Linked DNA regions of Caenorhabditis elegans. The protein of the gene in region 2 interacts with the protein of the main gene of each other region in a pairwise test. Each region holds a gene or a part of one and is shown on either strand. Other genes may lie near its edges.

What was found.
Region 1: the proteins of cir-1 (region 2) and mog-1 interact in a two-hybrid assay, tested with the Caenorhabditis elegans proteins (one study listed by BioGRID).

Annotation. Positions count from the first base shown.
Region 1 is NC_003281.10:9,951,256-9,957,966, forward strand, and holds mog-1 (putative pre-mRNA-splicing factor ATP-dependent RNA helicase mog-1), read right to left. Parts: upstream 4,961-6,711; 5' UTR 4,958-4,960; coding exon 4,842-4,957; intron 4,785-4,841; coding exon 4,671-4,784; intron 4,628-4,670; coding exon 3,319-4,627; intron 3,245-3,318; coding exon 2,417-3,244; intron 2,247-2,416; coding exon 1,705-2,246; intron 1,648-1,704; coding exon 1,476-1,647; intron 1,248-1,475; coding exon 933-1,247; 3' UTR 805-932; downstream 1-804. Other genes in the region: K03H1.11 (F-box domain-containing protein), read right to left, coding at 29-324, 438-708; alx-1 (Apoptosis-linked gene 2-interacting protein X 1), read left to right, coding at 6,103-6,317, 6,368-6,711. UniProt on the Caenorhabditis elegans protein: Probable ATP-binding RNA helicase involved in pre-mRNA splicing.
Region 2 is NC_003279.8:5,653,176-5,657,719, forward strand, and holds cir-1 (CBF1-interacting co-repressor CIR N-terminal domain-containing protein), read right to left. Parts: upstream 2,683-4,544; 5' UTR 2,646-2,682; coding exon 2,479-2,645; intron 2,432-2,478; coding exon 2,142-2,431; intron 2,093-2,141; coding exon 1,592-2,092; intron 1,466-1,591; coding exon 741-1,465; 3' UTR 653-740; downstream 1-652. Other genes in the region: F55F8.3 (Periodic tryptophan protein 2 homolog), read right to left, coding at 1-30, 78-172, 217-329, 384-401; wdr-12 (Ribosome biogenesis protein WDR12 homolog), read right to left, coding at 2,891-3,017, 3,082-3,214, 3,265-3,390, 3,445-3,766, 3,876-3,970, 4,022-4,146, 4,199-4,305, 4,357-4,451 and 1 more.

The DNA.
Region 1 (6,711 bases), on a different chromosome or scaffold from region 2:
GAGATTCCTTTAAATGTATCATATTCACCTGTGAAGTCCCTTTCAAATCAATTTGAGTAAGAGTCTGGAAAGATGCCTGAAAGCATCTGAGCAACTTTGCTTCAGTGTCACCTCCCAAATTGCATCCTTCAATCTCAACTTTCTCAAGCTTATCATAACCAGCAAGTAAAGCGAGAGTCCATGTATTTATTCGTTCCAAATCAATTTCAGATAGTGCCAGTTGCTTTAGTGGAGCATTTTTTGTCAATTGGAGCAGTTGAGCTAGCTGTTCATCAGAAATCTCGTCGCCGACTAATTCATTTTCCAATTGAAGGGAATGAATTTCTGAAAATCAAATTGGCAATTATACTCGAGAATTGAATGATTTTTTTTTAATGTTTCAATTTGTATCCAAACAGTTAGATAAAAGTAAAATAGACGAATAAGAAAATAAATACCGTTAACTATTTGTGGCATTAGAAAATGTAAAAGTTCTTGAATTTCTTCTCGATTTACTTTTGGAATATGAAGCTCAAATTCGTCTCCATCACATTTTCCATTCAATTTCTCACTTGTGATTCCAATCTTTATAGCACGGATTTTTGGAATCATATCTACGATAACTCTCATCACATCGATATTACTTAAAGCTGAATTAACAAGATCCGTAGGTTTTAACCCTTTATGGATTTCTCGGATGATTTCCAATGGCATATCACCGAGAATCATTCTGAAAATTTTGTTCTGAGTTTTTTTTGTTGTTGAAAAACATACAGTAAAAAAGGAAATGTACCGAAAGTGGGAAAAATTGAAAAAGGTAAAAATAAATATAAGGTTTATGGAATAAACTTCTGAAAATAAAATTGCAACAGAGTATATAGAAAATCGAACTGGAGTATTAACAGTGACACCCGATTACACGAGAAAATAAGACAGAGAAAGAGAGTAATTGATCAAAGACCCCACAGCTTTCTTCTCTCCGATCTGGCCGATTTCGATCCGACTTCAACAACACGCCTGGAAGATTCTGGTCGTTTGAACGCCTTGTCACTTTCTTCCTTCCGCCGTTCCATTTCTTTCTGCGCCTCTCGCATCTCTGCTTCCATCGTTTCAACCGTTCGGACACTCTCCATTTTCAGTTCTTTGCGTGATTGTTTCGATTCTTTGATCGAATAGAACATGGGTCCAAGTTCAGCAAGCCAGATTGCATCGACAGCAGTTACACATTGCATATATTCTTTGGCTGTCATAATCAATTCGTGGTACACCTTAATTTAGAATATTAATTTAAAGTTTAAAGGAATGTGTTTTTGGCGAATAATTTATTTTCCGCTTCTTTTTTTCGAAAAAGAGGATATACTGAAACATTCATAAATTTTTAAGTGTTACTTTTTTTCCAAAAATCATATTCAAAATTTAAAATAGAGTGCAATTTGGCCGAAATATTTGAAATACCGATTCAGCATTTTTTTTTCTTCAGATTCAGCCCTGCTTACCACGTAATCAGGCATGAAACCCATTCCAAAAAGAGCTGAAGTTGGATGAAGGAAGCATGGAATTCCGGTACGAACATTGACATATTCACCAATTCCTTTAAGACGAGCTGCATTGTGGAAATACGCAGAGCAAATGCATTTTCTCACAATATCCCATTCACTTCCGTTTGAGCTGAAATAATTTTATAAAATTGTAGTTCTAAGAAACTTTCAAATAAAAAAAACCTACATCAATGGAAGCTTGAGATCTTGCATAATTTCCTTCAATTGAGCACGAACTTCTCGAACCTTTTTCAAAGCTTTTACGTGTAAATAGTTGTCGGCACACCATTTTGCAGAATATTTGTGTGTTCTCCATTGAATATAGACGTTTAAGAAAGTGAGATGATCCGATTCGGGAACTTGGAACTTTTCTTTCTTGGCATCAGCTTCTTCTTCTCGTCCTTTTGGTCTGAAGAAAATTGCGGGCACTGACAACATCGAAACAATCGTCAGAACTTCATCACTGCATCCCATTTCAGCCGACATAATGAGCATTTTCGACAGAGTTGGATCTAGTGGGAATTCAACCATTTTTCGTCCCATTGGCGTGAGCTGTCCAGTGTTATCGAGAGCTCCAAGAGTCCAAAGTTGATACATTGAATTCAGCATATTGTCCTGTGGAGGTGCATCCATGAAGTGAAATTTCAAAAGATCATCCACTCCGAGAGACTTTAAAAGAAGCACTACATTGGCGAGATTGGTTCTTTGAATTTCAGGTACAGTACTCTTCTGAAAAATAAATTTGTTTTTATTTGAAACAGGGCTGAGCATATATATATATTTTTTAATATATATTTTTAAAAAATAAAATTAAAAATTTGTCGTTTTCGATATTTTTCCCATGAAATTTTTAGCATTCGTCGCTCACTCCAGATTTGTGAGATTCACCTCAAACTTACCAAAAGCTCATCTTTAAATTGTCTTTCAGTATACAAACGATAACACTGTCCTGGTCCAGTACGTCCGGCACGACCAGTTCGTTGATTCGCTGATGCTTGTGACACTGGGAAGATCGATAGAGCATCCATACCGATTCTTGGATTGTACACCTTCATCTTACAGAAACCCGGATCAATTACAAATAGAATTCCGTCGACAGTGAGCGATGTCTCTGCAATATTTGTAGCCACAATTGCTTTCCGCATTCCACCGGGTGCTCTTTGGAAAATCTTGGCTTGTAAGTCACTTGGAAGCTGGGAATAGATTGGTAGAACAGCAAGTGGAGGAGCTTCATCAAGTTCACCAAGCTTCTCTTTGATCATTTCACAAGTGCACTCAATATCTTCTTGTCCTGGCATGAAAATCAAAATATCTCCGTCCATACCACCCAGATGAATTGTAACAGCTTGTTTAACAGCAGCATCCACATAATCTTCAACAGGAGTTCTCGCATGAAACAGTTCGACTGGGAATGTTCTTCCAGGAATTGTAAAAGTGGGACAGTTTCCTCCGAAAAAGTCTGCAAACTTATCAGCATCCATAGTAGCAGAAGTAACGATTAGCTTCAGATCAGCTCGTTTTGCAATCACTTCTCTGAGCAAACCAAAGAGTACATCTGTATTGAGTGAACGTTCGTGAGCTTCGTCCATAATAATTGCTGAATATTGATCAAGACTTCCATCACCAAGACATTCACGAAGCAGAATACCATCTGTCATGTACTTGATTATTGTTTTTTCTGATGTACAATCTTCGAATCGAATCGCGTAACCAACGTCTTGTCCTAGCTGTAAAAATTAAAATAAAATTGTTTTCTTAAAACAGTGGTGAAATACATAATTATCTCAAAAATGAAACTAACATCCACTCCCATTTCATCAGCTACACGTCTAGCAACACTCATTGCAGCGACACGTCTCGGCTGAGTACATCCGATGAGTCCCGAATCACCAAATCCATCTTCAAGTAGGTATTGTGCCAACTGAGTTGTTTTTCCTGATCCTGTTTCTCCGACGATGATAACCACATTATTCTCACGAATCACATTCATCATCTTCTGCCGACACGCAAATACAGGCAAATACTCTCTTTGCTGCTTGATAGACTTTTCCATCGCAAAATCCGAAACTGCTTCATTATCTTTCATGTGAGATGCAAATTGATGAGATTCTTTGTAATTTCCAGAATCATCGTCTTCTGGATCAGCAGTTTCATCTTTTTTCTCTTTAACACCCATCAAATTTCCGAGTTTTGATCCTGCCAACTCCCAATGCTTATCTTGAGCCTTCTTCCTATCTTCAACTTCTCTCCGTTTTCGTACTGCAACACTTCCTCTTGCTGCTGAAACAGCCATATCACATGTTGTATCAACAACCGGAATGATTGGTTGTGCTTGTTTAGTGAAAACAATTCGACCATCAAGGAATGGAGGAACAATGTTTTGAACGAGAATTGTGACACGATTCTCATCAGTTTCATCTTCAAAAATACTTGATAATTCATCAGCCATCGCGACGACTCCTGATCTATGCAGTCGATTGTTCTCCCATAACTCATTCTCTCTTTTGATCGCCTGCTGCTTCACTGTAAGTCTCGGCTTCTGAGTTTTCTCCTGCCATTGCTTTTCTCGTTTTTCCACAAATTCGTCAGAAACCTTATTGAATGGATTATACTCATCATCAAATGCTCCTTCATTATCATACCATTCTCTGTCCAAATTCTTCTGTTCCTCTTCCCATTGAGCTCTCTCTTCGTCATCATGAAATGTGGGCTCTGCTTTTTCTTCTTTAACACTTCGTACCGAATCTTCTGGTTTTCGATGTCTCCGTCTCTTCTCATCATCTCTATTCCTTCTTTCACTTCTCCATGCACTTGAAATGCTTCGTTCCGAATCCATATATCGTTTTCTGTCTCTTTCACCCCGCGGAGTCGGCATATCCCAACTATTTCGTTTTCTGGAAGATCCTTCACGATCATCTTGATCCCAGCTCATTCTGGATGGTGTATCGGGAACTTTAAAGCGAGGAGTCTGATCTCCACTTCGATCTTTCCAACCTCTTCTACTACTCGGCTCTCTTCGTTCTGATCTGTCACGGTCTCGTCTGCGATCATCATCCCGACTTTTGTATTTCATTCCACGGTCGTCACGATCTCGATGCTTCTCATGAACTCTGAAATCATCAATTTACTTCGCTAATTTAATGTTTGAATCACTTTTCAATTCCTTTTCGAACCGATTCCGTGACACCTCGATCGTCATCATCCTCAAGACGTTTTCTGGCGTGTTCCCGCTTTGTAGACGCCAATCTATCGAGCCCAAGCAAGCTTCTGCAATTTAAATTGTTTTTATTTGAAGAAAATTAAAGTATATATTTAGTTACTCACTTCCCGGATGGTTCGGTTGGTTTTGAATCTCCCTCTACTTTTTTCTTTTTAATAACCAATCCACCAAATGTGTCACTGGTTCCTTCGAGGCGGCCATCTGCCCGTTTATCCGACATTTACTAAAAAATAAAGAATTTAAGAAAAACTAATTTAATTTCGAAAAGGAAATCGAAAATAAATAAAAAATAAATAAAAAATGAGAGAGCGAGAGAGAACGCATTATGAAAAGAGACTCAGACTTTTGTGTCTCGATAGAGCGCTCTTTCATAAAAACATTTTTCGCGAATTTTTTGTTTTTTCTTCAATTTTCTCAACACTCTTTCTCTCTTGTTGCATCTTTTTCTTTTCTTTTCTCTCATTAAAGGTTTCCCGGAGGTCTCTTCAAACAAAAAATAGCCTATAAATCAGTAGAAAATCACAATCTACTTCAATGCCACCAGTTTTCACTATTGAATCCGAATTTTTGATGTTCTTCAAATTTCCCTCTGTATCATCAACCACCGATACCCACTTAAACGGTTCAATTTCTATAGATTTGTTTGTTAACTCAAGCGCTTGAGAACCCCGGAAGCAACAGATCGGAGAGCTGAAGTGTTGAAAGTTGTTTCGAGAGAGTGGATTGCTTAGGCCCTAGCTTAAAATAAACTCAATATATTTAGAATTCAAATTGTTATTTCATATCAAATCATACGTTTACTAATTTTGAAATCTATTGATTTTCTTTTTTTCTCACCTCAATTCTATTTGCAACCCGAATTGCGAAATCGAGAGGGGCGGTCACCATGCCGGCAGCATCGATGACTCATCACTCGTATCACGAACGTTATTTGCATTCTAATGTCTGAAATGACGTTTTTCCCTTCTTGTTGAATGATTAGGAGTGTGAATCGATGTGATGAACTTACTTTCTATTACATTTTTCTTGTCCTTCATTAACGAGAAGCTTCGTATTTTCCTATTGCTCACCTCAAATTAAGGATGGAGTGAATTGGCTGGGGATTTTGCGTTAAATTATAGAAAATTGACCCTGCTAACTGAATATAACTGTAAAAATTAAACTTTTACTAAAACTAAACTTTATTTTTGAATTCTCGTAACATCTTCGTGTTTTTTTTGCTAAATTCATTGGTTTTCTTGATTAATGTTTCACATTTTAATTGAAACACAGTTTGTCAAAATTTCAGAAAAATTCTTTAAAGAGAATCTTTCTATTTTATTTTTTTTATTTCTCACTTCAAATTAGTATTAATTTTCTTTCAGAATGGCTACATTCGGCTTTCTCAGCGCACCGCTGAAATCGACTAATGAAGTGGATCTTGTGAAGCCACTTACAAGCTATATCGACAATGTCTACAATACATCCGATAATAACCGCTCAGATGTCGCCGAAGCTGTTCAGGAACTTAATAAACTCCGTTCAAAAGCTTGCTGTCAGCCTCTCGACAAGCATCAAAGTGCTCTCGATGTTTTGACTAGGTAATAAATTTAAAAAAAAAGAATATCTTTGAAATAATTGTTTTTTACAGATATTATGATCAACTCGTTGCCATTGAAAACAAAATTATAATCTCTGCAACTCAAAATCCAGTTGTTTTCAAATGGAAGGATGCATTCGACAAAGGAAGCCTCTTCTCAAGCAGAGCATCCTTATCCCTGTCTGACGGATCCTTTGAACGTGCTGCCGTTCTGTTCAATATCGGATCGTTGATGTCTCAAATCGGAGCTGCTCAACAATTCCATACCGATGATGAAATTAAAGTATCTGCAAAACTATTCCAACAATCTGCTGGAGTATTCGCCCGTCTTCGTGATGTTGTTCTCGGAATGGTTCAACAGGAACCAACTCCTGATCTCATGCCAGATACACTTG
Region 2 (4,544 bases):
ACAGCAAATGGACAAAGTGAACAACTCCACCTGAAGAATATTAATATTGACTTCGAATAGGTTTCATTATAACCCACGCTCGTCAGAAGCAAGAAGATGATAACCCGATGGACTAATAGAGAGTCTTTTAATGTTGTAATTGCAGTCAATATCCAATGTTTTTGAAGTATTGCTGAAAAATTATATATCAAATGTGAATATAAAATTATTTTTTACTTTCTGAGATCAAAAATTGATAGCTTGTTGCCAATAGGTGAAATCACTGAGTATCCATCTTTGCTGAACGCCACTTGACCGTCTCGATACACTGTACCAATGCAATTGGACAACTAAAATGGGTTTGGTGGAATATTAATTGAATAATTAACGCTTCAAATAATTACCTTGAAATTAGTGTCCATAGTGAATGGCAAGACTTCAATGAAACAAGCTGAAAATGGAAGAAATAATGAAAACTAAAATATATTTTATTTATATAAAATACAAAGCACGAATTCCGCGCTAAGAATCTTCATTGGCGCAATTCTCGTGCGTTGACGCAATTGCGGATTTTAGAAGTATCGCAATGAGAGATAAAAACATTTCCATTGAAGAATATTCTTAAGAATATTATTTATAAAACACCAAATACAAGAAATTTATAAACAGCAAAAATGTGTGAAAATACTTTATTAGACATGACGGAAAAAATTTAAAAGAAAACCACATTTAATAATTTTAAAAATTGATTTGAATAGCGTTCATTTATGCGACTTCTTTCTCCACATTTTCGGTGATTCAGATCCATCACGATCAGGCGATCCGGAATCATGACGACGCCTTCTCACAGGCAACTTGTTGGGCGATGGACTTCTACGACGTCGGATCGGTGACGTAGAAAGACGCCTTGTTGGCGGGGAATCGGATGGTGAACGTCTCTTGCGCTGTCGTTCTGGTGATGGAGATCTACGTCTTCTTGGTGATGCAACCATCGGAGATGATTGGCGACGTCGCAGTGGCGAGTATTGTTTTCTCGAACCCAGCTGACGATTGTCAGGAGACGGAGAACGACGTCTTCTAACAGGGGACACTGATCGTGAATCATGACGGCCATTTCTTTTTTGTTCTGGTGAATGTTTACGAACACGCTGACTTTCCTTCCGAATCGACGATGGACTTCGCCGTCTTCTCACTGGTGAATCCTGACGTTGTTTGGGTGAAGATTTCCGATCTCGTGAGCTTCTCCTCTCCGGCGATTTCAACCCGATACTTCTTTTGGCGTTCGGAGAATCATCTCTTCGAGATCTCTTCCTCTCTGACGATCTTACTTCGTTTGACGATTCTGAATCATTATGCGCTCTTTTTCGGCTCGAATCCTTTCTTCCATGGGAATTCTCGTCTTCTGATAAAACTTCCTGCTTGATATACTTCGATCTGTATTCCGGAGAACTTTCCACTTCTCTTTTGATCCTTTTCGATGATTTTTCTGAAACATGAACTGGTTGAAAAATCGAGAAACTAATAACTACTCTAAGCGTTTCGTTAATATTTGATATCAATGAACAAGTGTTTAGGATCAAATTAATTATGTAAAAACCTCATCTTTAAATACCTTTCCAATCATCCTCACTATCGCTGCCATCAGAATCGTCATCAGTTTCACGAGATTTGCTCTTCTTATTTTTCTTCTTATCTTTCTTCTTGTCTTTATTCTTCCGTTTCTCTTTCTTTTCCTTCTTCTTCTCTTTTTTACTCTTCTTCTTCATTACATCTTCCAAATCTGCACCGCTCATCAGCTTCTTATGCAATTTCTTTTTTTCCTTTTCAGTCATCGAATTGAAAAACTCCAGCATCATTTCTTCTTCGGTCATTTCTTTTTTCATTCTTGTTAGCTGTTGATCTGTCTGCATTCCAGCCAAAACAGAACTTTTGAGTTTGATTCCATGTTCTTCACGCATATCACTCGCAAGTTGCTGATGATCCATCCACTCATCCTCATCGTCATCTTCTCCTGTCGCCGCAGCAGCAGACGATTTCGATGTTGAAGGTCCTGCTTTGCCTTCCTGTCGTCTCCGACGAAGATCTTTGATTAGGTCTGATGGATTATTTGCATCTGAAAATTGATTTTACACATTTAATTCGATTTTTTTTCGGAAACTTACATCCTTCATCTTCAAAATTTCCAGATTTTCCGAACAATGGACATTCTCGATCCGTATTTATATGACCCCATTTGTGGCATTTACAGCATCGAACATTTCTAACTTGAATTCCGAATGGTTGATCTTGGATCTCTTCATTTCCTTTAGCCCAATCTTCACGTGGTGCTTGATATTTCCGTTGCCATTCGAATTTCGGCTCTTCTTTCGGTTCTTCTCTCTTTGTCATTCCAGCTGGAGCATCATACATGAACGATAATCCCATTTTGGCCTTTTCGTCTCCAAGAAGAGCTCTGAAAAATATTTATAATCTAGTGAGAAGATATTGAATGCAACATACTTGTTATTCAAAATTTCTTGCTCTTTCTCATAAGCAACTCGAAGTTCTTCTTGTCGTTTGTCCTCCAAAGACTTCTTCTGTCGTGCTTCCCAGACCATTTTGAGATTCCGAAAAGCGGATGGATGGAAGTCCTTTTTGGACATGAAGTTTTGAAAACCCTTCCCCATTTTGCAACGCTTTTGTTTTGATTCTCACTGAAAAATTCTGAAAATACTTGAATGAAAAATTGAAGAAAGAAAAATAATTGAAATATTTAACACAGTTCAAAACTGTCAGAAGGTAATGGAAAATAAATTCAAGTGGATAACTTCATAAAAAGTTCAACAAAAAATCAAAATCAACAAATAGAAAACGCGGTATATAGAAAAAAAAACAATATAAGAATTTGTAGAATAACAAAAAACAAAACAAATCAAGCAGTCTCAAAGATTTTGATTGTGCAGTCTGCGGATCCAGTTGCAATTAGTCCTTCATTCCACGTGGCACACAAAATACGATCATCGTGTCCATGAATGTCGAACAATGAAGACTTTGAGGATCTGAAACAAACCGAATATTAAAGTAAAAACTGAATGGTTCTTTAATTTTTGAAACAAGACCTACCTTACATCCCACATTTTCGCAGTTTTGTCGGTGGAAACACTAACAAATTGATTTGTATCCAACGGATTCCATTTGACAGCTTCAACCCATCCATTTTGATGTCCAATGAATGATTGTTTAACCATACTTCCATCTGAAATGTTTTATAAATACAAGAGACTAAATAAATATTAACAAACAAACCTCTATTTTTTGGATCATAAAGTCTTGGAATAGCATCAGTACAACTGGAGATGAGAAGATCACTCTTCGGATGAAGATCAATGCTTGTGAATGATTTGGGTCCTTTGATCCGCGAAATTTCACCAGCTTGAATGAAATTATTTTTTGTATATAAATAGGATATTTATCATTAGAACTAACCTAATTCCAAATCCCATTCAACAATAGTATGATCCCACGAGCACGAAAATGCGTGTCCAGAATTCCATGGACACCATTCGACTGCGGATACTTTGTCACGATGCCCTCCAATCGTAACCATCGGAACTTTAGTTTTGGTTTCTTTCTTTCGGCGTTTCTTCGCACTTTCTTCTTCTTCTTCTTTCTCATATGTTGTTGCTTCATCAGATGCATCCAAGTTCCAAATTTTGAGATTTGTGTCGACTGATCCAGAAATCGCACGGGTCGAATCCGAGTTGACTGAAACACATTCGACGGCACGTTCATGACCACGAAGGATGAGCTGGAAAATTTTTATTAAGAATGAAGTAATGACTGCAAAATAAAAAAAAAGAATTTTCGAAACAAAATTTATTGATAAAACTGATAACCCCGAAATTCGAACACCTAACCTTCTCAACAAGTGCTCCTTTTTCAATTGCATAGAGAGTCAGCAGTTGATTTTCACCGCCGACCACAAATTCTGTACCGTCCAATTGATTTTTCTCTGAAACAAAAATTATCGTTTTTTTAAATTTCAACTAGTGTTAAAACTGACTAGATGGTGCTTTGACGATTGAGATGCACTTTAAAAGACGATTTGCTGAATTAACAGCCAACTTTGTCTCTTTTCCTTTACGATCCACAATTACAATGTCTCCTCCGTAGGTTGTTGAGAAAATGCTGAAAATTTCAGAATGAGACTTTTACCAAACATTAAGCGGAAAAAACATACTGGCCGTTTGCGATTTGTACCGAAGAAACCCAATCAGGCGCTTGGATATCATGAAGTGGTTTTGGAGCTTCAATTCCAATTACGCATTCCACTTTAAGGATTGTTTCCTGCAGAGCTTGTTTTATTAAAACTCTAAACTTTTTTTAAATGAAATTTACCGTTTCCACTTCGTATTCCTCGATGAATTCAGCTAGACTCGTGCGCAAAAACGTTTCACCAACCAGAAATTCGAATCGCCGCTCTTTCCATGCACCTGAAAAATAAAATTGTATAACATTTTTATTTGAAATAGCTGAAATAAACCATCATTGGCTTCAATAGTCTTGTTCAATAGAAGATTCATATC